4 linked regions of the Notamacropus eugenii genome follow. The protein of the gene in region 1 purifies or fractionates together with the protein of each later gene. This does not show direct contact. Links are inferred from orthologs where the notes say so. Each region holds a gene or a part of one and is shown on either strand. Other genes may lie near its edges. The genes, in order: EZH2, TRIP12, SMARCA5 and YBX1.

Region 1 (7,359 bases):
GAAGCATGATTTAACATGGGCCTTCTGGAACCATGACTGGTCAATATAATGATTACAGTTCTTGTCTTTTAGAGCTGTTTTTCTTTACAATATGTTTATGATTATATATTGCTTTCCTGGTTCTACTTACTTCGAATTGTGAGAAAAATGTAATTTTCTTGGTAGTTAACAGCAACATAGGGAGAAACCATTGGATTCCTGTGGTCCCTGAAGCCTAGGGATCAACAAGAAGTTAAAGCTTTGATAAATGGGAGCAAAAAAAGGCAAAAAATGAATTTTGCTTTTTGCTGTTATCTGGAATGATTTGGACAGTGTGAGTCTATTGCAAAGGATGCTTTTCTAGTAACTGCAAGTTCATTTTTATTTTGGGAGACTCTCCATTATCAAAGTATTACTATAAGACCTGTATAAGTTTATGTGGTGAAAGGCATCTGACTCAGTGGACTATTGAGGGGTTGTCCTTGCTAGTAATTCTATATCTGTTTTCTTTCTGAGAAGAACCTAAACCAAAGTATGGTACAATGGACCTTAGGTCCCTGTAGGTAAGAGAGGGGGAGCAGAGTGACAATGTCGACTTAAACTCAATATTTCATTGTTTTTTGTTTCTTTGCATGAGGAATAAAAGCTGTTCTGTACTGGATATATACATTTTTACCTTTTGCACCTATCTGTAGAGATCTAGATACTAATTATATTCAAATTATTTCCATAAAGACTTCCTAATTCTTTGTTATAAGGGATAGTTCTTTGGGAGAGGCTGGGGGTGGGCTGGTGGAGAAGAAAGTTTGAGAAATGAAGGTGATATAAAAACAAATGATATAAGCAAAAATTGGAACTCCCTCCCCCCCTACATATCTATCTTACAAAGATCTCTTATTCGACATCCTTTCAACTTAGGCTGTTACTTTAGGCAAGAGGTGCCTTCTCTCCATTCATACCATAGCATCCTAGTGCATGCCCTCACTGCCTCTTATCTGAACAGTTTATTCCAAAAGTCTAACTAGTTTCCCCACTCCAATCTATTCTCTAAACAGCTGCCAAACTGAGTCCTAAAACACAAGTCTGACCATGTCAACCCCTAGTTTCAGAGGCTCCCTATTGCCTTCCATGCTGCTGGAATTTAAACCTCTTTCCAAAGTGACTACTTTGTTTCACCTCTCACCTTCATGATTTTGTACCAGCTGGCCCCCACACCAGGGATGCTCTTCCTCTAAAGAACCTCTGCCTCTTGGAACATCTAGCTACTTTCAAGGCTCTTACAGATACTCCCTTCCCCTACCCTGAGTATTGTGCTTGTAATCTTAAATTTATCTGTGAGCATGTTGTATCTCCCCAGGATAATGCAAGCTCTGCGAAGGGACAGTCTTACTATCATCTCTTTATTCCCAGCATGGTAGCTAGCACAGAGAAGGTGCTTCATATGTGCTTACTGATTGATGACTAGTTTTTGTTAACTTTTGTTAACTTTGTTAACTTCTTAGCTACGAAAGGAACTGTGAATTGCCAGAAACAGAAATGTTTTGCTTTGAGAAAGTAAAATAACTAGCCTCTGACACAAGCTGTGTGACCAAGGGCTAATCACTTAAACTCTCAGTGTTCCAGGTAACTAAAACTTTTAAGTTATCATGGATGGAGGGAATTCCCAAACCAGGAATGCTCCATATAAATATCACAAATCTAGACCAAAAAACCAAACAAACCCAAATTCCATGAGGCATGATTTTAAAAGACAAATTGCACGGAGACTCATTTTTTATGCTCACTTTATGTAGTCTTAAAACAGTTGTCATACCCTTTACATGACCAAACGTTGATTACAACTCCCACCCCAATACTGTTCTCTTTGCCAATACCTTTGACTCTGGAGCAAAAAAAAAAAAAAGTTCTCCCAAGTCTCCATGTGGAGGGCTCAGAATGCTAGCCAACTCCTCATTTCCTACCAGTTGCACTGTCTGGATCATTATTACACCCCCCCTCTCCAAAAAAAGCTTATCACCAGGTAATTGATCATTATAGAGATTGCATTAGCTTTGGAACTCACATCTCAATACCTTAAATTACTTTCAGTTGGATTGGAGGGCTGAACATTTCCCGCCCCAAATCCCCCATTTACAGAGAGCTCAGAAGCCTACCTAACTCTTCATTTCCCACCAGTGGCATAGCTTGGATTCTACTGTACCATCATGGCCCCACGCTGAACCTTTTCAACCTCCCCACTCAGCTTCCTTTTCTTTTTCATTAGATTATAAGTTCCTTGAGAACAGGGACTGTGTTTGGCACACAGTGGGCACTTAATATTTATTGCCTATTTGTTACTATTTGCTGTATTGCATTGTACATTTCAATAATCCCAAATCTTCAAATCTCCTCCCTACAGGAGACTGCATGTGGTTATGGGTGGGAATAATGATGGTGATGAGTCCCATAGAAATTACAGGGCAAGTCACTAAATGAAGACTTCTGATTTGAATTTTCTAGTATTATCTTTGAACAGGAGGCAACCAGAAAGAATATCATCAGAGGTGCAAGACACAAAAAGGTCCACTAGAAAAAGTGGGCTGGTCATGTGACAAAGGATGAGGGATAACGGATGGAAAGCCCCCAGCTTCTGTTGGCATCCCGATCACAAGATATAGAGGAAGCCTAGAACCTTGGGTGAACCCTGTGCAGGCCATAGATTGCCATGCGATGCATAGGACATGCTACTATACCCTTAGGGGTGAATAGGAATCCATATTCATTTAAGTGTCATCTTTACAAACTGAAAAACAAATTATACGTAATCCTTGTAGTTCTTTATTATACACTTGATCATTGGGGTTTTCTCAATTATAATATTTAGTCCCAGTGTAAGTGGGCAATTCCTATCGAGTTAAATGTATACATATGTAAATTACATATAAATGTATACATACGTGTATAAAACAGCATACATATCAATAAACATTCTAAAAAATGAATTGCCCGTGTCCCTTTAGAAATTTAATTTAAACTACCTTAATGTCTTGGTTAAAAAAACCCCAAGCAAACCACCGAAAAAGTGCAATTCACGCGGTGTACGGTCGGCTTCTGTTCCCGCGTGTGGAGCCGGGTTTTCCTAAGGTCACTAAGGCTTCACAAACCGCCCGCGCGGGGGCCGCTCTCCATTCCGCCCAGCGCATGTGGGCGCTCCACCCGCGGGGCTGGGAGGCCGACACGTGCGCTCGGGCTCGCAGCCACCACACCGCCGAGGCTCTCAAACCCGGGGGCTGGGAACGTCACTGACAGCCTTTCACTTATTTTCTAAGGGCAGCCCCGCGGCCGGAGGCCCGGCAGAGGTAGCGAGCAGCCGGCTCTCGGCCCTGCCGGCGGGAGGGCCCCTAACGGCCGAGCGCCCCAGCGCTCCCCGCCCCAAGCGAGCGCGCTCATTAGTCGGCCCGGCTCCCGCCAGGGCGGGCGGGGAGCGCCGCGCGCCTCGCATGCAAATCAGCGGCAGAGCCCCAGGCGCCGAGCCGCCCCTAGCGGCCGTCAAGCGCAGCCTCCGGCCGGACTCGATCGGAGGCGAGGCGGCGGGCTCCGGAGGCCCCGGGATGCCTGGGCTCGCCCCAACTCCCGGGGTCTCCCGGGGACACTTCACCTCCGCCCGCCCGGGGCCCCGCCTGGCCCAGCCCGCCCCTCGGGAGAGAAAGGAGAAAGAGCGCGGCCGTTAAAACCGTTACCACGCCTTGAGTTTCGAACTGATTCAAACTTGGCCGCCAAGGCCCCTTGAACTACACCTCCCTCCGACGCCCCTCCGACGCCCCTCCTCCCCTCCTCTCCCCTCCCCTGCCCCGCCGGGGCTCGGAGGTGGCTATTCCCGCCAAGATTAGAGCAACATCTCCGTCCTTCCCCGCCCGCCACCCAGATCCTTCCCCTTTCCTCCCCGCCCCTCTCCCGGCCTGGCTCGTCCAGCCGGCCCCTCCTCCCCTCCTCCCCCTGCCGCGTTCGCCCCGCGGCCCATTCGCCTTCCCGATCCGTACCCTGCGTGTAAAACGAGAGAACAAAGGGACGGCGGCGGTAGTTTCGCACGTAAAAACCCCCAGCGTCTCAGGGAGTGTGTGTGTGTATGTGTGCGCGTATATGAGAATATGTGTATGTGTGGATGTGTGCGTACCGTCCGGAGATAAGTATATGCGTGGGGCTGTGGGTCTTCCCGGCGCCTGGGAGCTCGGCGGGCCCTCTGATTGGATGGAAGCCTGCCTCTCGTCCCTCCAATCGGGGCGGCGCTTGATTGTAGTGGGGGGGCCAATGAGAGCGATGGCGATTGGGCTGTCAGGTTTGGCGCTCGGTCCGGTAGCATCCGACACCCACAGGGACAGAGAAAGCAGCGGAGGACCGGTGGCGGCGGCGGCGCGCGGGAGCAGCGCGCGGGGAGCGGCGCGGGCTGGGGAGAGGGAAAGAAGGTAAAGCCACCCGGCCGGCTCCGGCTAGCGGGACGGGCTCAGGAGCCCGAGGAGTTACGGGCGGCGGCGATATTGCTCGTCTCCGGGTATCGCCCCGGAGAGGGGTTCACCCGGCGCCTTCTTTGTATGACCGGGGGGAAGGGATCCCGAAGCTGGGGGGACTGGGGGTCGGCGGCCCGCGCTCGGGGCGGCCGCAGACGCAGGGGATGGAGTGGCCGGGGTGGGGGGAAACGGCCGGGAGAGCGCTGGGTCGCTGTGCTGGGGTGTTTTGTTTGGTTCCCGCCTCACACCACCCGCTCTCCTTTTTCCTTTTCCGCCTGATCCGTCGGGTTCGGGGCTCGGGGCCCCGTCCCGGCCGCCCCAAGTGTCCTTTGTGTGCCGGGCGTCGGGAGAGCTCCGGGCGTGACGGGACGGACACAACTTGGTGGGACCTTGCACTCAGACAAAGGAGAGACTGTGTCTGACGGAGAGAGCCCGGGCATGTGGGAGGGGGCGGCACAAGTTGGGCCCCCAGCTGCGGGCGGGGTTGGGGGGTGTAGGTCGGCGGCGCCGGCCTCAATTTAGGAGAAAGGGCGCCCCTCCTCCCCTTCCCCAGCCCCCGTCCCTACCGGGTCCCCTTCCCCTCCCCCCTCGGAGCTTATAGACCATGCAGCGCTGGCCGCACTTAGCGTGGGACAGCGTGCACGAGGGAGATCTTGAACTCCGAGTCCTCTCCCACAGGAAACAACTTCGAGCACCGTTGGAGAATTCTCCTCCAGCCTTAGGATAGCCCTTCCTCTCCCTCGCACGGGAAAGATTTGGGGCCGTTTTTTAGGTTTCTCTCCCGTGCTCTTTCCGGGCTTCAGAAAGCTAGTCTATTCCTTATGCTTAGTTTGAGGGAAGAGTTGAGTTGTTTTTCCTTCTCTTTTGTTCTCATTGAGTGCTTTCGGTTGAAGTTCGCTTCTTTTTGTTTCTGAAAACTTATCACTTGGGATAGAGTTCTGCTCAGGGACAGGGTGACAAGCTTTTGGAAAACTCTGTAAACTTAATATTGAAAGCAACTTTTCAATCCGTTTACAAATTTCAAGCCGTTTGTTCAACTTCACAATCTGATTTGAGAATGGAGGCAGGTGCTAAAGACTTATTATATACATCCCATATGCCCAGGAGTTGAAATAATGATATTGGCAAATTTGTTTGAGCTCTTTGATTTGAATATGCCAAGGTTAAATGTGACTTTTTAGATCACAGTAGCATTCTTGTTTTAATTGAATTTGTTTGCCATGAAAAATACCCTTTAGTGATTCAGAAATGATTGGGAGTGAAAATGGCTCTGTATATAAATAATTGAATGAATAATGCCTCATAGTTAGGCTAAAAACTTCCTTTGAGTAACTGGAATAAAACCTTGTGTGTTGAACAGTCTGTTAACGAAGCTTATGAAATAAAGATGTTTAATTATCATATTTTTGAGTCGTTTACTTAACTGTTTTAAAGATTGTCCTCACTTTTTTGTGTATATCTTCTTTTTACTTTAGTTAACATTAGTTTAATAATCGATTGCATTATACACCGTTAAGACACCAACATTTAGCTCTGAACATAAAAAGTTTACCAAGTGTAACATTCTTATTTTTACACATGAGGAAATCAAGGCTAAGAGAGTTTGACTTGTTTAAGGTCACACAAAATAGTAAGTGGCTGAGTCAGATTCAGAACCTGGTGTCTCCTGAGGCAAATTGAACACCCTTTCCATTATACCATATTGCCATTCTTTAGCATTTTGATTTTCTTGATTCTTCCCTACAAGGATGGAAAGCAAATCCAAATCCTTTCTTGTTTTTGTGTGTAGGAAAAAACATCTGCCTAGATGCTTTATTCTTGTCAAGTCAACACGTTTTAAGTGCCTACTATGAGCTGGGAACTGTACTAAGACTGGAACAGATATGTAACCCTAGCCATTTTCGTTGTTAATTTATTTGCAAGTATTTATTTTGATATATATTCTAACTATTCATTGCTCCTATAGTTTGACTTCTGGATATATAGTTATCAAAGACATTTCCCATTTGTGTGTGGTGATGTTCTTTGGGATGTAATGTGAAAATGTTAAGGAATATATCTCAAGACATTATATGCTTTTGAAACAAATTTGTGTGTGCAGGAAAGCAGGTTAAATTTAAAGTAAGAATTTTAAATCATATTCTGCTATGTGATGGCCATTGGAAAAAAAAAAGACAACAGATTTCTCTCTAGACTGTTGAGGTAGACTGTTTAAATAAATAAATAATGTTTAAATTTGAGTGATAAAACATTTTAAATTATTTCCTTTTTTAAAAATCCCTTTAATAATTTTGGTCACAAATTTGCCCAGATGAGTCTGTCATACCTCTTTGATGGTCATTTGGATATTTTGAGACCAGAGGTCCCAGTTCTGAATATATAAATAGGTCAGTGTTCTGACAATTCTGTTGTTTCGTGACTGCAGTTGGAATGAAAATACAGATTTAAGATCCATTACATATTGTTATATTACTAGAAAAATTTCAATTAACAGTCAACTCACCAAGCATATATTAAGTACTCATCAAGTACATATTAAACACTTGGGCCTGGTATTGTGATAAGCTCTGGGGATACAAAGAAAGGCAGAAAGCATGATCCCTGTCCTGAAGGAAATAACATCCCAGTGGGGAGACAACATGCAAACAACTAACTGTACATATAATCATATATACCGTGTAAATGGGAAATAATCTTGGAAGGCACAAGCAGTAGAGTGTGGCTGGAAAGCAGTAGAGGGTACTGGAAAGGCTTCTTGTAGAAGGTGGAATTTGAGTTGAGTCTTGAAGTCTGCAAAGAATCACTTTACATATATGATATGATACTATCATTTACTCTGTGAGTAGCTGCCATTATTACGCTTGTTTTTACAAATGAGAACACTGAAACTGAGAGA
Region 2 (7,659 bases), on another chromosome or scaffold:
AAGCAAAATTCTCTTATTATAACAGCAATACTAACAACAATTGACATTTGCGTAGTGCTTTGAGGTTTGCAAAGTACTTTGCCTTTATCCCATTTGATCTAGGATTTACCTGTTATTATAATTGCCTTGCTATTTAATGTGTGTATGGCCCAGAGAGGCTACTGATGAACCTTTTCAAGAAAAGGATGTGATCTGTCCAGTGAAAGCATAGGCTCCCTAGCCCTTCAAATGGGGGCTGGAGATAGATGCTCTGCTGGCACCATATCCTGTCTTCTCCAAGCACACTCTGGTATTCTTGATCTGGTTTTCTATTTCTGTCCATCAGCATATGACTGGTCCATGTATTGCTTGAGTCAGATTCAGCGAGTTTTTGGTTTCCTCTGGCCAATGAATGTTTTCCGTTGTGTAAAGACTTCCCTGGTGCAGGCTGATAGTGGCCTTAGCCTTAGTGGTCCTCAGGTTTGCCATGACTCTTACAAGTCTACGGGCAGTTTCTGTGCTTCAAAAGCATAGGCACATTCAATCACAACAGCTCCTGGATGTTTCATGTGCCTCTGATGGGTGCCACGGCCTACTGCACTGAAAGGATTTCTCAGGTGACCGAGAGCTATTTTAAACTGGCTAGGGACTACTTGACTGCTTCCTTGATCAGGGCTCAGTAAAAGCAGTCAAATATGACAAAGCATTATGAATATACTTACCTTCTATTATTTTAGTGATTTGGGAATGACTAGGTGCTAAATGGATAATTAGCCCAACATTTTGCCCACTGCTAAGGGCACACAGAGTAAGCCTTAATAAATGACTAACATTATCAATTGTGGCAGATCATACCATATAGATTAGCTCCAGTATGTCTGAAAATTTCTTGGAACTGTCCAACCCACAAGCATTTATCAAGAGCCTACTATGTGTCAGGCACTGTGCTAGGCTTTGGGGACAATATAGGGAAAAAAATTATGTCTACCCTCAAGGAGATTACACTTAATAAGAAAGGCCCAAATATGTGCTAGGTCTACTATTTTTTAAGCTCTACAAGCTCACTATATAATGATGGAGTCAATTGAGTATGCTGGTCCTTATATCTGAATGAATGGGAATGAAGTCAAAGGTGCTCCAACTAAGGACAAAAAAGCCTCAATCAATTTATATCTGGAAGGTAAACTAAAATGGAATGCTGTGGTACAGAAAAAGTGGTCGACTGGCTGCAGAAACTGAGTTATTTCCTGTGGGTATTCTACAAAAAGGAGAGTGGCATGGATGAATGAATGTTCTCGTCAGTCCCTCTGAACAGTGGCTTGGTAAGGAGGGGGGGACTTCATCTTCTACCTCTGTGGTCATCTGCCCTCCTTCCCTTGTTGTTTGTCTTTCATTTTCAAGGAGGACCAATGACATCATGGTGACATCTTGACTTATTCATGAACTGGATTTAAGGGAGGTAGAGCTGCACAAGGTTGTCAGCCTCAGTTTCTCTTTCAGAGTCTTTAAAATCCATAGAAGTCCAGTGGCAGGACAAGAGTCAAGAAGATTGATGACGGCAGTGGATGCGGTGGGTGACATTGTTGTCTTCAATGGCTGACCAAGCTCTTAAGCTCTCCACAGCACCTTCAAGGCCACTGGAATAAATTGTTCTCATTCGTTCATTCCACCAGGGAAGTCTTCACACGTTTGGGGAATACATCCCCTAAATCACCAGTAGGTTTGAGGTTTAACCCATTGGCCGAGATGGTTCTGTTGGAGTGTGGTCACTGTGCACACGGCTTCTTGGAGCCACAGGTGAGAGTCGGGGGAATCAGGGGGACCCCCAGGGTGGATGAGCAGTCCTGAAAAGGGCTTGGCAAGCCTTCTCACCAGAAGGGTTAGTCCTCTTGAACACCACACACACCCTGATTTCCCCCCCAATAACAGGCAGGAGTTGTGTCAGAGAATTTGGCTGGGGACGTTTAGTGCCAACTGTTCTCACTATGTCATCTCAGTAACCAGATCTTTCTAAAAACTAATAGAGTCTGACTACCTAAATGATATCAACAATCATGACAAGAAGCACGCTGGTGAGGGCTCGTGAGCTTTGGTGTTAGCAAAGACAACCCCCTAGTGCACTGAGGGGGTCTAGGAGCCCTTCTATGAGAACCTGACTAGTAAATGGGAGGGGAAGTTGGGACGGCTGCCTCCCAACATTGGCTACAACCAGGAGGATCTGGACGCTGTTATTCACAGATCACTTCTGTTGTTAGCATTTATACAGCTTAGGTAAAGTTTACACAGCACTGAACAGAAACTACCTCATTTAATCCTCCCAACAACCCTGGGAAGTAAGTGCTATTACTATCCGCATTTTACAGATGAAGAAATGACATGGAAGTAACGTTTTGACTTCAATAGAAAAGAATATTGACTCAAGAACATCCGTAAATATCTTCGAAACTATCTTCTTTGTTATGATTTTCTGAATTAACCTCAGGGCAAAGTAATTTCTCCTCTCAATTTAATTCAATAAGCATTTTTTTTTTTATGGTTGGGTGACAGACACTTTCTAGGTGCTGGGGGTACAAAAACAAAAATGAAAATAACTCTGCAGCCTCAAGAAGCTTATAGTCTACTGGGAGGGTGTAGGAACAACCTGTATGCAATGAGCAAATGCAGAATATGCGCACATATGTATATACAATTTTTTGGGGGGGAGAATATGAATAATTAGTGGTAGTGGGGAATCAACAAAGGCTTCATCTGGGAGCTAACTTCTGAACAGAGCCAAGACATATTGCTAACGTAGTATTGTACATACCCTTCATTTTGCAACGAGTTAGATACTGCCTGGGGAGATTTCTCTTACAGGACTGTTGCTAAATAACAATTCAAGAGTTAAATTTTTATGTACAGTTCACCTTCCCAAACTAAACTGTAACCCTTCTTGGAGACAGGGACCACGCCTTATTCTTCCTTGTATCCTCCACAATACCTAGCAGAGGGCCGTGCTTACAGTTGAGGTATCTATATCTACGTATCTGTTAATCGATGAAAAGGAATGAAGCAAGAAGAGCCCTGGCAGCGGCCCCCTCCCCCCCCACATGCGTCATTCGGCGGTAAGCACGGCCCCAGGTACAACACATCTCCACCTGGGCACTGCGGACAGGCCCATTTTCTGGATCCGCAGATCTGCTCTGATAACGCACTGCTCTTATCAGCTTCGTCGCCTCCTAGCAGCCAGCCTTTAACTGTAACCGCCCCGGACAAGCTGGAATGCACGGACAAGCACGCACGGCACACACATGTGCATGTCCACGCTGGCTTATCTGCACACGCTCACTCTGAAAGTCTTCATCATGAACATCCGTCGTGCTAACGCGAGCGAAGACGTCTGTACTGCACGTGCGCTACGACACGAGTCACACCGAAAACACCATTTATCTCATGCCGAAAACAGCCTGGCTGGATCTCCTGAGTGGGACGACAGAGCAGACGCGTCCTAAGCCCACACGGCCGCTGGGCCTCCGGTCAGCTCGGTCAGCCCCGGAGGGCCACCAAGGTCGGGCTGGGCCACCTCGCTGACGCGGCAGGGGCCTCGGGGTCACCTGGCTCGCCCAGGTCGCAGAGCTGCTCCGGGCCACCAGGTCGGACCCCAGGCCCGGCGCTCCACGCTCTGAAGCCTGCCTGCTCGCTGCCCAGCGCTGGGGCACAGCGGGGGGGCTGCGGAACACGCACACCCGCCGCACTGCGGAACAGCAGAGGCCTGCGGGCGGGCACGAAGCGGGGAAGGCCTGCTTCCCCACATCGAGCGCTTGGCAGCTTATTAAGGCCTATGGTCAATAACGTTCCAGGGCTCCTCCGAAGCCCACAGACTCATTCTGAGTGCTTAGAAGGCCTGGAGGAAGGAGCAAGGCACCTTCACACACTCTTCTTTTTGGAAGGATCGAAGTCGTCCAGAAGTTCCAGTCTACTCTCATCCGCACGTGATTGACGCCCGGCCACCCCAGGGCAGCACTTCCTCCATGCCAAGGGGTAGAGGTGTCTTTGAGGACACCATGAGAACACAGGGTTATCGTTCTCAAAAAAAAAAAGGTACAACGTGCTGGCCATGTTCTGGTTTCTACAAGGTCCTAGACCTTCAACAAATCTGTTTAAATTTTGACCAATTAAAAAAAGGCTTTTAAAACACTTTCGACTTAAGAGAAATGAGAATTTTCACAGCTGGAGCTCTGGGAAGACGCACGATACAATAAAACCCTGGCCCGCTCTCTCCTTCCGAAGGCGTCTGGGGCGCTCCAAATAGCCCACCCATGGCACCCCGGGGGTCCGTGCCTGGAGCGCACCAGGCCCCGGGCCAGGCGCCGGGAGGGGATCCTTCGGCCCGCGCCTTCCCCTCAGGGAGCTTCCCATCTCCTGGGGAATGTTTAGAAACCCGGAATAGGGAGAACGCCCCGACCCCGGGGGTGCTCCCGAGGTGCCCGCGGCGGCCCCCCCCCCCCCTCCCGCTCCAGGCCTCCGCAGGGCCGCGGCCAACAATGGGGGGGGCCGGCGGCGGCGGCGGCGGGGTGGGTCCCGCACTCCCCCGACGGTCCAATCCTCGGTCACATTGTTGAGAAGCAGATGTCATTATGGGTGGAGCTGACACTGCCGAGCAGCTGAAACATTTTTCTAGCCCAACTCACTCCCAGCCTGCCCCGGGAGAGGGTCTGCGCCCCAGACAGGTGAGTAGAGCTCCGTCCAGCACCTTCTCTCCCCAGCACCGCCCCCCGCCCCAGCCCCCACCCCCTTAAGGGGAACCCGGAAGTTCTGACCCGGGCGGCCGGAGGCGTAAACGCTCGAGTGAAGAGTTCAAAACTTGCTCCGGCCTCTGGGCGCCCGCGCAGACTCGGGCCCCGGAGCCTCCCCCAGCCCGGCTTCTCCGCGGGACGCTCAGGAACCGGCCGTGCTCTGGCTCTCTCCTCGTTTCCTACTGCGGGCCGAGGCCTGGAGGCAAGCAGGGGTGGGGAGGAGGGAGACCGGGGCGAGCCCGAGGCAGGGCCGAGGCGGCCTCTGCGGGCCTGTGCCTTGGCCGCGGCTGGGATATGACCGAGGGAGTCTGTGCGGTTGTTCAGAGCTAGGGCTAGGGAGCTTCCGGCCCACTCGGGCAGCGCCGGGGGGCCGTATCTGGGGTGGGGTCGAGCGGGGACGGGAAGGTGACCCGAGTGGGCGTTCCACGGTTCGCACTCGCCTGGGACCGGGTGATCTGCAGCTGGTAGTAGTCTTTACTCGGCGCCGGGCCTTGTCCGCCGGCTTCGAACAGAGTCTCTGGCAGCAGCGACGCCATCTTGGGACGCCACCGCCGTCGCCTCGGCAACCAGGAAGGGGCGGGACTTGGGCTGGGGTCATGGGGCCAAAGTCCTGGTAAATCGGGGCCCAGCTTAAGGGCTAGAGGGCTTCCAATTTAACGTGCTCCGGGCACCCCTTTATCCTCTGTGGGGCCTGGTTCAAACCACATCCATGAAGCTTATACTTTGGCGACCCCATTGACCCGAAGGGGAATTAGTTCCTGCTACCAAAAGAGAGACGGGTGGGGGTGGGGGGGGTGACCCCGGCGGAGGGATACCAATAGAAGCCTACACATCCCCCTTCCTGGTCCCTCGTAGGGATCGGGAGATCTGAAAGCGGTCGGGGGGGGAAACGGGGGTCGGGCGGTGGGGGGGTGGGGGGGGGTAATGTGATGTGCCGCGGGTCGGGCAGTGGGGCCTGTCCCGCGGGCATGTCCCTGGCGAGGAGGATAAAGTAGTTCCTCGCCAGAGTGTTAGAACGGGTGGGGGGGCGGGAGGGGGAGGGAGGGAGGTGAAGGCGGAGGGGGACGCTCGGCGCGGTGCTGCGGCTCAGCTGATAATTGAAGGGACCGGAGGATCCGCTGCCGCCGCCACCGCCGCTGGGGGGGGGTGGGGGGTGGGGGAAGAGAGTGGAAGTTACTGCCGCGCCACGGAGTCCGGAGCGGAGACTCGGGGCCGAACTAGGTAACTGAGACGCGCCTGCCGGGGCCGGGCTGGGAGGCCCGCCGCCGCGGGAGGGGGGAAGGGCCGCTGTGGAGCCGGGGGGAGGGGGCGCGGGAGACCTGTGGGGGGCCGGCGGGCGCAGAAAATCCCCGGGAGCCTTGTCGTGTCACCGCCTCCATTCGGCCCCATCTCGGGCCTGCTGCAGGCCGGGCCCGAGGCGCCAGGCCCGCGGTAAGGGGCGGGAGCTGCACTGGAAAGATGAGTTGGAGAGGTTTAGGATTCGGGGCCAGGGGAGGGGGAGAGAGAGTGGGGCAGGGAGCGCCCGCCGCCCCCGGAAATGAGGGTCCTTTGGAGACAGTTAAAGGGGGTGTGTGTGGGGGAGACGACAGGAGAACTGGGGGTCCGAAATGGGGGTTCAGTCGTCCGAGGGGGGTGTAGGAAGAGAGTAGTGGGGGGCCGGAAGTGCAGGTGGGGGGGGTCTATGGAGACGGAGAGGGTTCCCCGGAAATGGGACAGGGGGCCCGGAAATGGGGGGGAAAGGACCACTGGGAGGCCCGAGGCGGCCCGGAAAGGGAAGCCTGGGAGCCGGCGGAGGCACCCCGGGGCTGGAGGACAGCCGAGGAGCCGAGCGGGGCTGAGAGAGGCCGCGGGCCCTCGAGCCGGGGCCGACCGCGGTGTGTGCGCCGCGGAGCGAGGATGGAGGCGGGGAGGGGGCGGGGACGCGGAGACCCCGGAGGAGGGGGCGAGCCAGGGCTGCCCCCCTACGGAAAAGTGAAAAGTTGGGTCCGCCAAGGCTCTCGGGCCCTCGGCTCGGAGTGCTGGCCACGGCCTCGGCCTTCCCCGGCGTGTGTGCGCGCGCGTGTGTGTGTACGTGGGCACGTGGTGCGTTAAATAAACACCGTCTTGTCGCCTCCCGGCCCCCCCAGCACCCCTCTCTCCCGGAATGCTTGTACAGGAGGGAGTTTCAGTGACAGTGCCCGAGGACACGGACCCCACGCGTTCTCGCGCATCGTCCACCCACGCGGCGAGCTTCTCCTTGGAAGAAGCAATTCCCCTTCCTGCTGATTTTGAGGGGGGGAGGTTAGAGCCCAGCCCCCACCCCAGACTGGTCTAAATGACGCCGGTGCCCGAAGTCCTGACGGGGGTGGGGGGATTGGTTTCTCCTGGGCACTGTGGCGTACCGAGAGGCTGCTTGCAGTTCGCGAAGAGGTTTTCGGGTTGGTGAACGCCAGTTGGCCGTGGAGGTGGGCCCTGACGGAGGTGAAGCGGGATTGCATTCGGAGGAGGAGGAGGAGGAGGGGCTGGGGGCTCCGGGCCCGGGCTGGCGCCGGGCGCGCTGTGGGTGTGCTCGGACTCTCCCGGGCTGGCTCCGGGGCTGCCCAGCCACCCGATTTCCCTGCTTTCCCAGCCTCGGTAGGCCCCTGCCTGCTGGCTCGGAACTTTTCATTCTGCTCGAGAGTCTCTCCCGACCGGTTAGGGGGCATTGAATCTCTCAGGCTCCCGAGAGTTGAGGCTTAAAATCCCCGTTCTGAAATAAAGGCAAGTTTAGAAAGTTGAAAGAGCTATTGAGTAGGGAAAAAACCGGCTCTTGGAACAAAGGTCCTAGTTGTGTGGGAGAAGGCAAGAGGCCTGTCTCCGAGGCCTGTGTGTGTCGCATTTACACCGTGGGGGAGGGAAGCGTTCAGGGCTTGCTTTATTGGTTGGA
Region 3 (7,869 bases), on another chromosome or scaffold:
GTCCGTAGGCATTACCAGATCGCCAAAGGGGGTCTATGGCACAAAAAAGCTAAGAACCTCTGTTCTAGGTCTGATCCTGAAAGTTTCAAACTTGGAGCCAGAGTTTGGCTGGCACTAAGGATGGCACTGCCCAACAAATCTCTCTTCTCTGGCTAGAAAATTAGACTCTCATTTTACAAATAATAAATTTTGTCTCCTCTGCACAGAAAATTTGTGGTTCAGAAATGTTGCCCATGAACTCCCCTCTCAAGCTGAGTGGGCAAGCATGTCTACTTTTGTGGGAACTGTATGTTGATCCCTATTGCTGCCACCTTTTGGGTTGGGAAAGCCTACTCTCAGGTCTTTGTCTTCTCACCTCTGCAGAGAAAGTTACAAACATATGTAACTCCCAAGCCAATTACCAAACACTCCTCCACGTAGCCATTCTGCTGGGCTTTCTTCTGTATTCTGAATAAAAAAAGAAAAAAAAAGGAAAAGGGTGGTTTGTCTTTACAGGCTTCATTTCTATGTGCATATCTTGAACAGTTTTCTAAGTCATTTTTAGGATGAATGCTTCATGTTCTGAATTTGTCAACTGAGCATTAGTGGTCTTGGTTAGGATATATGAATATAGATAAGTAACACTCCCTTATATGAATAGGAGCTGGCTTATCATGTCCTTGGCTCTAAAAACTACTCCCACCAAGAGTCAGTCTCTCTCTCTCTCTCTCTCCCTCCTTCTTGGATGTTCTCTAAGAGAACTTAAAGTAAGTGCTGAGTTGGGTGTGAACCAGATTAAAATATGATTGGAAAATATTTAACAAAATAAAAATACAATAGAATATAATGTTAATATGCATTTTTCTAAGTCAATATGCAGGCTGTAGGGATCCTTATGTATGGCTTAGTGGTCTTGTTTCTATTTGAGTTGTACACTTCTGGTTTAGATCTCTCTTAGTCACCCTTGGGAGTGACATCTCTTTCCTATGTAGCAAGAAGGAAGCAGCACAAAGCTGTCTTTAAGGGCGTTGTCCAAGAGGATGTTTGATTCTTTAAAATCTAGATCCTGGGACGGATCTATTTTTATTCATCCCAACCTGGGGGATAGACCTAGGTAAATTTCAAGGGAGAAAAAAGAAATGTAATGTGATGACAAATATTTTCTGTAACGGCAGATACAAATACTGACTTTAGTGATTATTCTTAAAAAACTCAAACCAAACCAAATCAAAAACCAGACACAGACAAGACAGTATTATGTAGTACATATATTACAGCATTTATTTAGTCTTAGTTTTTTCAGGGTAGGAGGAGTTATACAATGTTAGAAAAGCTTAAAGGCATATCTGATATAATATGGTTCAGTGGTATCAAACTCCAATAGAAATATTCCTGCTGGCTACATACTGAAAATCACACATTAACATTTTCTATATTCTATTTTTTACTTATTTTGTTAAATATTTCCCAATTACATTTTGATTCCTGTAGAACTTAGGTGTGTAGCAAGGGGTAGGGGCAAAGCCACTGATCTGACGATTCTGATCTAGCTCATTCACTTCATTTTATAGATGAGTCTCAAAGATTTGGTGGATGACTTGCTCAGGGTCATGTGGCTAATTATTGGTAGAGCTAAAGGCGTAGGGGTGAGGTCTGGAAGAAGAAAAGCCAGCAAACATTTATTAAGTGCCTACTATATGCTGGGTACTGTGCTAAGCACTTCACAAATATCTCATTTGATTCTCACAACCACCTACTATTATTATTATCCCCATTTTACAGTTGAAGAAACTGAGGCAGAAAGGGGCTAAGTGACTCCAAGGGGCCAAGGTCACACAGCTAGTGTTTGAGGTCAAATTGGAACTCAGCTCTTCCTGTACTGAGTCAGCACTCTAACCCCAGCTGCCTCAGCTGGGTAAAAATAGAACCTGGATATATTCCTTGTTCAATGCCCTTTCTCCTGCATGAGACCTTGGCCTAAAGGGCTGAAGGTCTCCCAGTGCATCCTGGGCCATCTCCAGTCATCCTGAGGAATATCAGGTCACTGGATTCAGATGGCTCTGGAGGAGAAGTGAGGCTGGTGACCTGCACACCCTTCCCTCACTCAAAACAAAGTCAAATACAAGTCATGTCATCTCTCTGATGGCATGGCCTTCTTTGGCAACGAAGGATGAACACAATTCTCCCACATCATATTTCTTCCCCTTGACTCCATGCCCTCACACACCCCCATATGGAAACAGTTATCAAGTTTTCTTGATTCTATCTCCATAACCTCTCTCTTATTTGTCTTTCTCCAACTTACCCAGTGACCACCTTAGTTCAGGCTCTCGAGTCCCACTGGTACCAAGACAATAGATTCCTACTTGTTCTCCCTGCCTCAAGGCTCTCACCTCTCTTATTCATGTATTCTACACAATTGCTAAGTGAAACATGTCACTGGTTCTCTATGACCTCTAGAATGAATAAAAAAATCCTTTGATCAGCTTTACTGTTCCTAGCCTATCTTCCCAAGTTTATTACATATTACTATTTCCATTTTTGTACTCCATAGTCTAATTAAAACAGATCTATTCACTGTCTCTCATACACAACATTTTATTTCCTGTCTCTGTCTTTGAACAGGTTTACCCTAAGCCTGGAATGAGTTTCTTCCTCAACTCCACCTTTCGAGTCCCTTGCTTTTTTTCCTTCATCGCTCAGCCTAAGTGCTGACTTGTGTCCTTTCCTGATCCTCAAAGCACTATTACCTCCTTCTCCCAAATTCTCTTGTTTACTTTGAATATATTGTTATCTACTTATGTGCATAGATTCGTTAGTTTTCCGAATTAGCTGAAGTGTGAAACAGTGGAAAGAACACAGAACTCAGATCCAGACACGAGCATGAATCGTCACTGTGCCCCTTACTGACCTTTGGCATAGAACCTCTTAGGTAGCAAAGAGGATAGAATGATGAGTTTTGAGTCTTGGAGACTTGGGTTCAAATAAGGCCTTGGACAAGTCTCAACCTTTTTGCCTGTTACTTCAACTGTAAAATGGAAATATCAAAAGTACCTACCTCTCAGGATTGTTATGCGGATCAAAGGAGACAATATCCATAAAGCACTTAGCACAGTGCCTCACGCTTGGTATGTGCTATATAAATGTTAGCTAAGATTATTTGGGGCTCTTTGGTGGTACAATGGATACAACGCCAGGCTTCAGGTTAGGAAGACCTGAGTCCAAATGTGGCCTCAGACACTTAGTAACTATGTGACCCTGGGCAAATCATTTAACCCTCTTTGACTCAGTTTCTCATTTGTAAAATAAGCTGGAGACAGAAAAGGCCAACCACTCCAGCATCTCTGCCAAGGAAATCCCCCTAACAGGGACATGAAGTCGGACATGACTGAAAAGACTCAACAACACCCAGCCCCTGGAGTTTGCCACATCTGTATTCTGGGGGGGCAGTGTGATGCAGTAAGGCCAGGGGCAGACCTGGGTTGGGATTCTGCCTCAGGTACTTCCTAGCTGTGTTACTGAAGGCCTACCCCCACCAACTCTGCCCCTCAGTGTCTCCACCTGTAAAATCGGATTAGACTTGACGGCATCCAAGGCCTTTCCAGCTCTACACTCATGATGCTTGAAGGGCGGTGTGCTTCTTTGGCTTTTCACATTATGTATGTGACAGCAGTATGACATTCAGGCCATCCCAGCCCAGCCCGCCCTCCCTCCCAACAGAGGCCAGCACAAGCCATGCCATCCTTCTCCGTGGCACGGCTTTCTTCGCGATGGAGGGGGGACCACGGGCGCTTTTGAGGGTCTTTGCCACCCAAAGAGGTGTTATGGATGCTTAGGAGGGCACACGGAAGGCTCCTTTCGGCCAGCAATGCCAGGCTGCTCACAGAAGCGCTGGACCCACGCACAATGCCAGTCTCTCCCGCCTCTCCAGGAGCTTCTGCCTGGAAGATGCCTCCTGCCCTCCCGGGCGCGGCTCCACCGCCCCACTCACGACGATGGCTGCGTTTTCTTCGTGGGTCTCCTCTGAGCTTACAGGGAGGAAAAAGGAAGGGGGAAAGAAGCACGCTGGGGGCGGCGAGGCCAAACAGGAGATGCCGGCCGGTGCATAGGAGGAGGACTGGGGCTCCCCAGGCCCCGGATTCAAATCCAAGTCCGCGATCCTGGGTATGGTCCCGGGAGCCGGGGCTCCGGACTCGGGGGACGTGGGTCCCTCCGGGCGCTCCCAACTGTGAGGAACAACTTTGTGGATCCTCGGAGGGGGCGTGGGATCTAGAATAATCCTAAAGTGGACCGGGAAAGGGCTGGGTTCAAACCCCACCCTCGGCCCACCGGGGCGCTGCTCGAGTCACGTATTGCCCCCGGGCTCCGGACTTCCGCGCCCACACCCACGCAGGTCCGCGTCGGGAGGAGGTCGCGGGAAGGCCGCACCGCACGGGCAGGGCCGGGTGGCGCGGCTTCGGACGACGTCTCAAGAGCACGACGGCAGGGGACTGACCGGAGGGCCGGGGCCTAACTCCTGCGGGGCCCGGCCGCGGGGATTCCGGGTCTGCGCCGTGGGCCGCCCGGGGACCCCGTCGGCCCCCTGGAAGCGAGCCAGCAAAGGAAAGGCCAGCGCCTGACCAGTAGGGGAAGGCCGTTGGAGGGGGGTCGTTGGGGGCCGTGCGAGTGCGCTCCTCGCGGCGACGGGCGGGCGCCCATTGGCTCGCCCAATCTCCACGCGCATCCCAGGACCCGCCCTCTTCGCCCCTCCAGCGCCCCGCGTGCGGCGGAGGGAGGGGGTGGGGAAAGGGCCATCGCGCGCGCGCTAGGGAGCGAGTGGGGCCGGCCAGCCAATCGGAGGGCCGGCCGGCGAGCCCGCATTCTCGCGAGAACTGGAAGCCGGCGGTGGCGGCGTCTGTGTTAAGGACGGCATTGGTTCCTGGTTGGTGGCGAGGAGGCTGAGAAGCGCCTGCAAGGAGAGAGGACGCAGAGGGAAAGCAGCCAGTTGCCCCTCGCGCGCGCTCTCCTTCTCCCTCCCCTCCTCCCAGGCTTCCTTCCCTTCCCTTCCCCCGACTCCGAGCCCAGCCGTCCGCTCCAGGCGACGGGCGTCCCGCTGAGAGGTGAGCGGCCGGCCCGGCGGGCCCCGCGAGGAGGAGAAGGAGGAGGAAGAGAGGGAGGAGAGCTCCGTCCCGGCGTCTCCTCGCCACCCGTGTGCCCGGCCGCGCCGCAGGCATGTCGTCCGCGGCCGAGCCGCCGCCACCCCCGCCGCCGACCGCGGAGACCGTGCCCCCCGCCCCGGCCGTGCCCGTCTCTGGCGGCGGCGGCAACCACAACAAAAGCGGCGTGGAGAGCGCCCCGGCCGCGGCCGCCCCCCCTGCGGGCGACGCGGAGATGGAGGTGAGCGGGGCAGCCCGGGGAGGGAGGGACGGAGCCCGGGCGCCCGCCGGGACGCCGGCTAACGCCCCCCGCAGGTCCCCACGCGCCGGCCGGAGCACGCGCGCCCCTCTCCCTAACTTTGGAGCCCGGGGACGCGCCTCGGCGCCCCCCGCTCGGAGGTCATCCGCACCCAAGTTGTGGCTCTTTCGAAAGCGGGGCGAGCGGCGGCCGCGCGGGGCCGGCACGGCCGAGACAATGGAGAACGAGCCGGCCAGGCCCCGGGGCCCCGCCGCGGGGAGCAGCTGCGCCCGCACCCCCCCTCCGCAGCCTCGGGGGCACGGACGCGCCGGGCCGGCCCCCGCCTCCTCCGCCTCCTCCGCCCTCCTTTTGTGCGCTGCGCCAGCGCCGGGCCGGCTGCCGAGCCCGCGGGCGGCTAGGCCCTGCCTGGAGCCCCGAGCCGCGGGGGCGGGGGAGGGAGAACAAAGTCAGCCGGGCGGGCCCTCCGGGGCCGGCTCCTCCGGGGCGGGGGTCGGCCCCCCCCACCCTCGGCTGTGAGAATCGGGGCGAGTTCCCCCCCGGGCGGCGGTGACAGCTGGGGAGCCCGGGACCCGGACTGACAGGGCGCCCCTCCTCTCCTCCTCCCCCAGCCGCGTCCCCACGGCCCCCTGGGGGCCGGGGCTCTGACCGTGCCGGTTCTCCAGGCGAGGAAACCGAGGCCGGCGGCCGGCCCAGCCTCCGTGCGACGTCGGGGCGCGCGGGTGACCCAGGGTGCGGGGCGGCCCGGGATGCCCCGGAGCCGTTCGTGTGTCACAATTACAGACACTGCCGGGGGTTGTTGGTCGTCGTCTCTTTTCGAGCAAACTTGGATGCCAACTTTGGAAAGTTTTAGATGGTATTTTATATCAGGAGTTTTTGATTTTTAAACACGTAATTGGTGCAGATTTCAGGCTGAAGCAGATCCCAGACCCTCTCCATGCGCTTCCCATTTTTTATGATTCTTGTTCGTAAATTCTTCTTCCTCTGGTTCGTGAACTAGCTGGGTAGCGGGGGTAGGAAAGTATCACTCCAGTTGTCCATTTGTTGTTTTTCTTGGAACACGGACAGCCTGCCCTCCTTTTCTGATTATGAAGTCCTTGATGTTTCCCTTTACGTCTTTTCTCACTCAGGTTTTTCTTCGTAGTTACCTTGAAGTTTGTGTTTGCCCTGCATTTGTCCTGTTACTTGGGTTGCTTAACATTTTATTCAAAAGTTTATTCTTTTGAGATTGTCGTTGGTATTTGATAATTAACTTCCGAGATGCCATCCTGTTCAATCTCCTACAGCTTGTTAGTAATAATAATAGCTCAGATTTATTGAGTGCTATTAAAAGTTGCAAAGTGCTTTTGCCTTATCTTAGACTTCTTCTGAATTTCACGTAATCTCGTCTTGCATCTTTTCCCTTATTTGAAAATATGAGAAGGGAAGAGGCATGCTACCACATTTTAGAGTCCTTAGTGATTGAGAGGTATAGAAGTATAAAAAGCCTTGTATTTTTCCTATTCAGTGATGCATTAAGTCACATTAAACCCAGAACTCACAAAAACCCTTTTACTGAAATCTATAGGATAGGAAAGAGATTGTATTAAACATTCATACTAGAAATCAAAGTGGGTGAAAAATGCCCTAGACCCACCCTGAGACTGAGCTAAGGTTTTGAGGTTGGGTAGTTGTAATGATTTTTAGGGCAGACTGGAAAGTTTATTGAAATCCCAACAAAGAAATGTAATGAACACTGCAAGTCAAAAGAATTAAGTTAAAATTGAGTTACAGTTTAAGTGTATGAATAAAAATTAAATAGCTTATGTTAATATAATAATTTTGTAAAAAGGTATGTTGTACGAGCTCAGGAATTTTTTTATTTTCTATCCATAGACCTTAGTAATTTTGACATTTCTTACAAGACTTCTGGTATACATTTTTCATTGAAAGTCATTGTATTTCTTACTTCCAGATTGTATTTTAAAGGTTCTTAGGGTAGTTGTCCCTTATTTAAACTGGTTCTCTTTATACAGCTTTATACTTGTGTGTTATTTTCTCCTTTAGATTGTAAAGTGTTGTGCTTGAGCAGCAGTACTGTCCTTTATTGAGGTACATGCTGTGTAATAACCTAAATCTTCCCTAAATCTGCAGAATTGAATCTTTTTCAGTCTGTTAAAAGAAAGAATGCTCTTATTCTTTTTGATGGGCTTAATGTGACTTTTTCTGAACTTTGGAATTTTCTGAAATAGCCTTAATAGATTTTTTTGGTGTGACTTTACTGTGACTCCTGCCATAGTTACTGTAATAGCACACCAACGTGCACTAGGATTTGTAGTCTAGTGGAGAAGTATTATTTCTGTTCATCCGTTGCTTTTTGCAGTGTGGAGAGTATAATATGTTTCCATTCTTTACAGAAACTATTGTTCTACCCTCATCTTTGCAGTATACCTCAGCGTCTTTTCTGTTGGCCTCTGTTGGCTAATACTTATTTGGCCAGAAAGGGTATGCAGACTTTAA
Region 4 (7,950 bases), on another chromosome or scaffold:
ACAAAAACTATAAAAGACACTTCAATTGACTGAATGAGAAACAATTTATATAGGAGGTTACAGGATTTTGGAGCTGGAAGGCATCTTACAAATCAAATCCAACTCCATCATTTTAGACATAAAGAAATGGAGATCTAGAAAGGAGATGGGCCTCCAAAACAAACTACTACACAGTAGCACAGATGGCATTTGAATCCATTCCCTTTCTACTACATGATAGCTGCCTCCATTACTAGAAAAAATTCAAGGGAGGTATCCTACACTAATAGCAATAATAAAACAACATTAATAGCTAAATTTTATATAGTGCTTATCTTACATAAAGTATACATGTATGTGTGTGTGTGTGTGTGTGTGTCAAGTACTGTATAAGGACTTGACAATGATCTCACAGTTCATCCTCGTAGTAACTCTATGAGGCACATGCCATTAGTATTCCCTTTTGCAGATAAGGAAAACAAGGCCAATAGGGGTCAAGTGACTTGTCCAGGATCACTCAACTATTAAATGTCAGGTCAGATTTTAACTGTCTTCCTGACTCCAGGAGCCACCTAGCTCCTGTCCCCAAATAGGTCAATTCCTTCACCTTTGTATACTAAGTGGACAATACATTACCTCAAATCAAAATTCTATAGCCCACGCCTCAACTTCCCCAAGCTGCAGAATCAGAAAGGCTCTACAGTTGTTGAAGATTTAGCAAAAGTTAGAAGACTATTATTTGTAGTTTTGGAAAAAATGGTTATTTTGCCATTTTCCTTAGTAATTTCACCCTACTGCTGGTCCTAGAGTCAGACAAAGAAAGGGAACAAGAGCACCAACGTACGCTGCTACAACAGGGAAAACAAATATAAACTGGAAAAGCTAAAAATTTTTTAAAGAAAAAACATTTTATATTAAATTTGGTTAGCCTCAATCTGAATTACTCCAAATTATGTAGACAGCTGAACCCTGCTATAATATGTAGTAATTCACTACGTTACTGCACCACAAACCCAAGACTACCCCCCTTCCAAAAAGGTTAATTGGATGCAATGTTAGTTAGGTCTCTGAACACCATCCTCACAAAGATTATGTTATTAAAAAAAAAAATGTATCACGATAACATATTTATTTGAACCAGAACAAGGGGAATCCTTCAGGAAGACTTTTCAGGAGGTTCTGACATTTTCAACTGGGTGGGATTTCTACTGTGCGGATTCTGCTCCATGTGCTACAGTAAGAGACAAGCTCCTCCAGCGAGGGCTCCTCCACCGCTACCGACTTACCACTCGAACCGAGAACACGTCGGACTGCTACAGTCCGTGTTCAGACACAACTGTTACCAAAACCACCCACGCACGAGGCTGCCGGCCCGCGGCTCTGCGGTCCCCGGCAGTGACCACTCGAACCCACGGCCCGGGCCGCGTCAGGGGTGGCAAGCGTGGGCCAGGACGCATGCGGGGGCAGGGCGGAGCGGCTCTAGCTTTCTCTCACCTGTTGATGAAACCATAGCCGTTTCTTACATTGAACCATTTTACTGTTCCCAAAACCTTCGTTGCTGGGAGAAAAAAAGAAGGAATCCAAGGTTACAAAAGAAATGCCCGGAGCCCCGCCGAGGCCCGGCCCCTCCCCCCAGCCCCGCCGCCCGGCCCGCGGCCTTCGGGGGGGTGCCGCCGGACCCGGGCGCAGCCGCCGGGAAGGCCGCAAGAGCCCTGCGAGCACGTGAGGGGAAGGCGCGCGCCGGCCCCCGCCCGGCCTGCGGAGGCCGGCGGCGGGAGGGGCGGGCACCGCGCCCTCGGTCTACACGCGGAAGGGAGGGAGAGCGTGCAGGAAGGGGAGGGGACCCGCACCACGGCGCTGGCCAGCTCGCCCGTGGGGCGCGTGGCCGCCCGGGAGGGCCCGAGGCCGGGAAACCGTTACACACGCGGCGGCCAGCGCGCGAGGGGAGAGGGGCGGGCGGGTGGGCGCGCGGCGGCGGCGGCGGCGCGCGGGGGTCCATAGGGGGCGCGGGAGGCGGCGCGCGGGCGCGGCGCCCTGGGCACGAGGACACTCGGCCGGCGCGCGCAGAGGGAGGGAGAGGAAGGGGAGGAGGTGAGGGCGGCGGCAGCGCGCGGAATCCATGCCGCGCGCCGCACCCCCCTCGGCTAACGGTCCCCCCCCACCGTCCCCACCGGCCCCGGGCTTGGCCGGGCCCGGACCATGCCCCTCACCGATGACCTTCTTGTCCCCGCCGGCGGGCGCCGCCGATGTGAGGCCGCCGGGACCGCCGCTCCCTCCGCCGCTGCCGGTGATGCCGGGCTTGGTATCGGCGGTGCTGAGGGCGGGGGCGGCGGGGGGGGCGGCGGGCGGCTGCTGGGTCTCGGCCTCGCTGCTCATTGTTGCGGTGATGGTGACTGGGGCCTGCTGCGGCAGCGGCGGCTCCTCCCGGGGTGTGATGGTGACTAGGCCGGCGGCGGCGGTGGGGCTGCTCTCAGGGCTCTCTGGGGTCCGCTCTCCGCTCCCGCTACCGATCGAACTAGCGAGAATGGCGGGACGGGCGGGATAAGCCCTCCGAGCGACCCGCCTTATGCTCCGCTCATTGGCTCAAAATGCCATCAATCCGCCACCTGACCAGAAGCGCCAGCTCTCATTGGCTAGGGGCGCATCACTCCCCCGCTCTCATTGGCTCTCGGAAGTGTAATTTGTCCAACTTACTAGCAATTCCAGCCTCCGCCGCCGCCGCCACCGAGACCGGAACTAGAACTAGAGTGAAGCCCCTGCTGAACCATAGAGTACCCGAGAGGGCGGGCAGAGGGAACGTGACTCGGAGCGTGGTGTAGTGCAAGCCCAGCCTAGTCCCGAGCGCTCTGGTCGGCGAGCTGGGTCGAGGTTGGTTGACTGGGCCGGCATAGAGCGCTCGGGATCGACTAGGGTAAAGGGGAGAGAGTTGCTCCGGGTTCACGCCCCACCATCCCCGGAAGTGAGGGGGGGGGCAAAATTGTCTACATGACACCTCGGCCGTCCGCCTCCGGGGTCCACATGGCCGGCTGCGGGCACCCAGGGGCCCCCGATTGTGGATTTTATTTCTTTTTCTAATTCGGCCATTTATCTTGTGACACGAACAACGCTGAGCCCTTTCCTATTAAGCGTCAGGCAGCAGTTTTCCTTTAATTATATTAGGGAAATGCCCAGATATAGGGATGAACATCGTGGAGAGAAATCCTACGATGAACTTTATTTTTGATAATGGCCAGAATGAGGAGGAAAGTGATCGCCTTCCTCTCGGCCGTCACGTGCAGGAACGGGATTTGTTCAGCCTAGCCCAGCCTGGCAGGAGGCTGGGAGGGCAGTGGCGGGTGGAAGGGGGCAGTTTCCTAATCGTCAACGGCAGATAAAAGCGCCGCCCCTTGGGGTCGTGAGCTCACCCTCCCCAGTGTGTTGTAGATAGAATAGTGGACCTTCTCCTGCAGCCCCCAACCCTAATTGTCTGGCAGCAAAACTGGTGAGGGGGGCGTGGCAGGGCAAGGCTTTTTTGTTCATGCGCAAGATGTGTCCGTAAAGGGATTTTTGTGTGCATCAAAAAACTGGCCCCCAAGGCAATCCTTGGAGATCCAGACAGGTTTTGAGCAAGAGAAGCCTTGATGAAGGACTAGGCAAGCACACGTCACCAAAGTAATTACTTTGAAGGCCAATTTATTTGCAAATGGCCTACTGGTTTAAATCTAGATCCTACTTTTTGAAAATAGGAACCCACACGCTGACCAGAAGGCATGGTTAGCCACTGCAGGTGCTACTGGTGCGATGGAGGATAGAAAGGAAGCAGGCTCCTTGCCCCTGTGAGGGCTGGAAGGGCAGGTGTGAGGCGGGGTGGTAGGGGACTTTTAACTGCCCTAGCTCTGACACTGTCAGCTGCTGGTAATTTGGTGAGTTACTGTACCCCAAGTACAGCAGGAGACCAGCGCACAAGTTTTGACCTGGTTGTTTTATTGCAGACTGCTGAGGCCAAGGCCTCCCAAACTATTCCAGCTAATTTTCATCCTATCACCAGCAGCTTCTTTACTCAGACCCTGGCCCTTTTCCTTGCTCTTAAAGGTAGGCATACAGAGAAATTGCCTCCTTTGTCCGGAGGACAACAGCATACTTGACACAACTTCCTAAAATCCTAAGCTTACTACATTCCTTTGGAATTCATTCCTCTCTTGAATCTTCCTCTATTATTGTCATAGTCCCTCAGCTAAAGGATCAAACAGGAGAAAAGCAGTAGGAATGGGAGAAAACTGACCACCTGCCTGGAACACACATTTCTACCAGCTGTCCCCTTCCTCAGTTCAGCTATGTTCCATAGTTATGTGCAGCACTGCCTAGGAAAGAGAAAGATGCTAGCTAGGAGGTGAAACCACAGTCATCCCAGCAGGTCTAGCTTAGCCAGAGTGAACAGACTGAGGCTCACCTTAGATAGAGTTTTTTTAAAAAAAGACAACCAAAACACAAGCTTTATTTACAGTTGCAAATTTAAAAATGAAAGGCTTGGGGTCCTGAATCCATGACAGGTCCTATCTCTTGATCACAAAGGCAGGCAGTAACCAAGGAAGCAAGGTGGAAGGCCAACCCATCTTCTCAGAAGCATCACTGGGGCAAAGGGAGCCTAAAACAAGAGAAACACGGACTTCTGTGGAGGCCAAAGCAAGGAAACAATTCTGAACAGATGGGATGAACCTGGCCAACTCTAAATGAAGTGGTGGAAAAGGATACTGACCTTAGGAGTCATAAGAGGAAGGCCCAACCCTGGCCCTGTGCTAAGTCACTATGAGCCTCTGGACAAATCAAACTTTTCTAAGTTTAGTTTCTTCATCTGCAAAATGGGGACCCTGCTATCTGCAGTGGGTGACAAATAGGATAAGGTATGTTGTTGGGAGTCCTTTTTTAAGAGTCCCGAACTGTTATTAACAACTATTATCAGGTACCTCTGTGACCTGCCTGAGTAGGGAAAATAATAGAAGTACTCCTGCCAGAGGGAAATCCTAGGGTTAGGCAGAGCTGAATTGGGCTAAAACTTTGCAGGGCTTAGGGTGAGAACTTCAGCAAACTCTAGCAAAAAGCCCCAGGACTGGAGTCAGAGTTAGATCCTGTGGGAGGGGCAGGAAAAGCGAAAGGAACGGCTCCACCCTTCCCTTCCCTTCGCCCAGGTGGCCATGTACCCAGCAATCACTCAATCAAGGCAGACTGCTGGGATCAGTTCCTTCTTACCTCCACACTTCTAACCGCTTTGGAATAACCCTGGAGGTTCAAGTTTGAATTCTGGAGCCCAGCAAAGTGGGCTAAAAAGTGGCCCTTCAGCCTTTGTAAAACGCAGAACAAACATCTCTTGCCCATGGTAATGGCTGCTATTTGCACTGCAGGGCGGGGCTGGCTGGATCTGGGGCACAGGCTAGGCCTGTGTCAGGATCCAAATCGCTGCGCTTGCTTCAGAATTTTGAAAATATTTGTCTTTGAACTGTATAATGCCCAAAGTGAGGTCTGGCTAAGCCCTCTTGGATCTTAATCCAACCAGCAGGCCTGGCCTGAACCCAAAATAACCTCCAAGAGCAGACCCTTGATTCAGGGCTTCTTACTATGTGGCAAGGCAGTTTGGTATAATATTCTGCTCCAGGAGGCAGGAGACCTGGATTCAAGTCCAGTCCCTCATTAAATATATGGAAGGAAAAGTCATTGCCTAGTTCTGGACTTCAGTTTACCCATTTGCACAACAAAGGAGAGGGTCAGATGACTTTCCTTCCCATCCACATGTTCTAGAATTCTACCTCCGGCAAGCAAGTATTTATTTGGTGAACAAATGCCCAACCTCCGGTGTGCCCAGGACCAGTATTTTCACATGAAATCCCCACCACCCCAGGCCCAATATCGACCTAGACATTATTTCCAAGAATTGGAGGCAGGTGCAGAAAGGTAAATGGAAGGGAATCTGCCCAGACCGGCAGCATCATCAGAGAGGCTGCTTGTCTTCTGGTTCTTCCAGTACCTCAAAACAAGGTGCTGCAGGCATTAATTCTGTTCTCCTAGCAACTCCGGATGCCAACTGAGAGCAACCAGAACCTCCTCTGCCTCTGGCGAGCTTTTTCATTATTGGAAAAATAAGGGATTCCTTCTCTCAGTAAGCTGCCCAGTGGCCCAAGGGCTCAGACATGTTCAGTCTGGCAGGTGTGGCCTTTTTAATGAGCCTGAAATAGGAGATAAGCCTAAGTGTAAGAATGGTCAAGGGCCCATGAAGAGAGAGAGCAAGTAGGCTACCACAGGCTCCTAGGATCCAGAGAAAAAGTGTATCTGAGAGATCATCTAGTAGCCTTGCTCTTGACGGAGGAAGCAGCTGATTCCTACAGAAGGAAAGGACTTGCTTTGTGAAAGTTTTCACCAGGTAGAAACAGCACTGGACTGAGGTTCCAAACCCACTTCAACACTTACTATTCTGGGATCATGGGTCAGTCATAGAACTTCAGTTTCTTTATCTGTAAGGTGGGCCTAATACTTGTAAAATCTAGTAGGGCCACGGTGACACGCAGATATGATAATGTATGTGAAGTGCATACAGAAACATCAGTTCTTATGTTGCCCAAAGTCTTCCTGTCCCTTCATGGCCCAACTGAGGTCCGTCAATAAGCATTAAGTGCCTGGGCTTATTAAAATAAGCACTGTGCCAAGTTCTAGGGATACAAAGAAAGGCAAAAGATAGTCAGTCACCTGCCCTCAAGGAGTTCACAATGTAACTGGAAAAGACAAGTAGTAAACAAGCAACATCTGAGGATAAATGGGAAATAGTGAGAAGGTGCCACAAATACGAAGGGTTCAGAAAAGCTTCCTGTAGCAGTTGGGATTTTAGCTGGAGCTCAAAGGAAGGCAGGGAAGGCTTGTCGGTGGACATGAGGAGAGAGCATTCTGGGCACAGCGAAAATGCCCAGAGCTAAGAGATGGAGCGTCTTGTTTGAGGAACATTCAGGAGGTCAATGTCACTGGACTAAAGAATACTTGGGGATTGCAGATAGAAAACTGGAAAAATGGGGGGGAGAGCGAGGTTAGGAAGGACTTGGAATACCCGAGGACTTTGTAATTGATCCTGGAGATGACAGGGAGTCACTGGAGTTTGTGGAGTATGAAGGTAACATCATCAGACCTGAGTTATAGGAAAATCATGTTAGTGGCCGAATGGATGATGGGATGGTGTGGGGAAGAGACTGGAGGCAGGCAGACCCACCAGCAGCTATGATAATAGTCTTGGCATGAGGGCTTGCACTAGAAGGGATAGCAGTGTCAGAGGAGAGAAAAGGATGCATATGCAAAGAGAGGTTGCAAAGGTGAAATCCAAAAGCCTTGGAAATAACTTGGATATGGCAGGGGAGGAGGACTGCGAGAGACAGTGAGGGGTCCAGGATAACTCCTAGGTTGGAAGTCTGAGGGACTGAGGATGGTGGTGCTCTTGTAGCAACAGGTTAGTTTGGAAGGGAGGGTTTAGGACAGGGGTGGGGAACCTACCACCTCGAGGTCACACGTGGTTCTCTTTGGTTGAATCTAAACGTCACAGAACAAATTCTCTTAATAAAAGGATTTGTTCCATAAAAATTGGACTCAGTCAAAAGGCCAAACCTAAGGACCTAGAAGGCCACATATAGCCTTGAGGCTGCAAGTTCCATACCCCTGGTTTAGAGGAAAAGATAATGAATTCTGTCTTGGACATGTTGAGTTTAAGACATCTACTGAACATACAATTTCCAAAATGTCTGAAGGTTTAAGATGCAAGATAGGAAGCCAGCAGAGAGGTCAGTGGATAAATAAGAATATTCGAGACTATTGAGATAATTAAAGGTGAAGTTTCTCCTCTGGAGCCTTCCCTGATAACTCCTCAATACCCAGACACATAAATACACAAGTGATCTCTTCCTTGTCACATTTCTCCCACTCTCCCAGGGCTTTGAGACCTATCTCTCTCCCCTCTGGGCCATC

Evidence for each region.
Region 2: the proteins of EZH2 (region 1) and TRIP12 purify together in Homo sapiens (affinity purification with mass spectrometry; 3 studies listed by BioGRID, with this or other methods). This does not show direct contact. The link is inferred for Notamacropus eugenii from reciprocal best matches to the Homo sapiens genes EZH2 and TRIP12.
Region 3: the proteins of EZH2 (region 1) and SMARCA5 purify together in Homo sapiens (affinity purification with mass spectrometry, with the first as the bait; 3 studies listed by BioGRID). This does not show direct contact. The link is inferred for Notamacropus eugenii from reciprocal best matches to the Homo sapiens genes EZH2 and SMARCA5.
Region 4: the proteins of EZH2 (region 1) and YBX1 purify together in Homo sapiens (affinity purification with mass spectrometry, with the first as the bait; 3 studies listed by BioGRID). This does not show direct contact. The link is inferred for Notamacropus eugenii from reciprocal best matches to the Homo sapiens genes EZH2 and YBX1.

What each region holds. Positions count from the first base shown.
Region 1 is NC_092874.1:98,220,548-98,227,906, forward strand, and holds the start of EZH2 (histone-lysine N-methyltransferase EZH2), read left to right. Parts: upstream 1-4,331; 5' UTR 4,332-4,421; intron 4,422-7,359. UniProt on the Homo sapiens protein: Polycomb group (PcG) protein. Catalytic subunit of the PRC2/EED-EZH2 complex, which methylates 'Lys-9' (H3K9me) and 'Lys-27' (H3K27me) of histone H3, leading to transcriptional repression of the affected target gene.
Region 2 is NC_092877.1:329,353,287-329,360,945, reverse strand, and holds the start of TRIP12 (E3 ubiquitin-protein ligase TRIP12), read left to right. Parts: upstream 1-4,626; 5' UTR 4,627-4,688; intron 4,689-4,770; exon of another isoform or gene 4,771-4,956; intron 4,957-5,194; coding exon of another isoform or gene 5,195-5,290; exon of another isoform or gene 5,291-5,366; intron 5,367-5,813; exon of another isoform or gene 5,814-5,975; intron 5,976-6,130; exon of another isoform or gene 6,131-6,185; intron 6,186-6,546; exon of another isoform or gene 6,547-6,628; intron 6,629-7,106; exon of another isoform or gene 7,107-7,198; intron 7,199-7,659. Other genes in the region: FBXO36 (F-box only protein 36), read right to left, coding at 5,195-5,290. UniProt on the Homo sapiens protein: E3 ubiquitin-protein ligase involved in ubiquitin fusion degradation (UFD) pathway and regulation of DNA repair.
Region 3 is NC_092877.1:140,691,607-140,699,475, forward strand, and holds the start of SMARCA5 (SWI/SNF-related matrix-associated actin-dependent regulator of chromatin subfamily A member 5), read left to right. Parts: upstream 1-4,803; 5' UTR 4,804-5,190; coding exon 5,191-5,355; intron 5,356-6,207; exon of another isoform or gene 6,208-6,223; coding exon of another isoform or gene 6,224-6,226; intron 6,227-7,869. UniProt on the Homo sapiens protein: ATPase that possesses intrinsic ATP-dependent nucleosome-remodeling activity.
Region 4 is NC_092876.1:74,521,824-74,529,773, forward strand, and holds the start of YBX1 (Y-box-binding protein 1), read right to left. Parts: upstream 3,138-7,950; 5' UTR 2,356-3,137; coding exon 2,190-2,355; intron 1,538-2,189; coding exon 1,474-1,537; intron 1-1,473. UniProt on the Homo sapiens protein: DNA- and RNA-binding protein involved in various processes, such as translational repression, RNA stabilization, mRNA splicing, DNA repair and transcription regulation.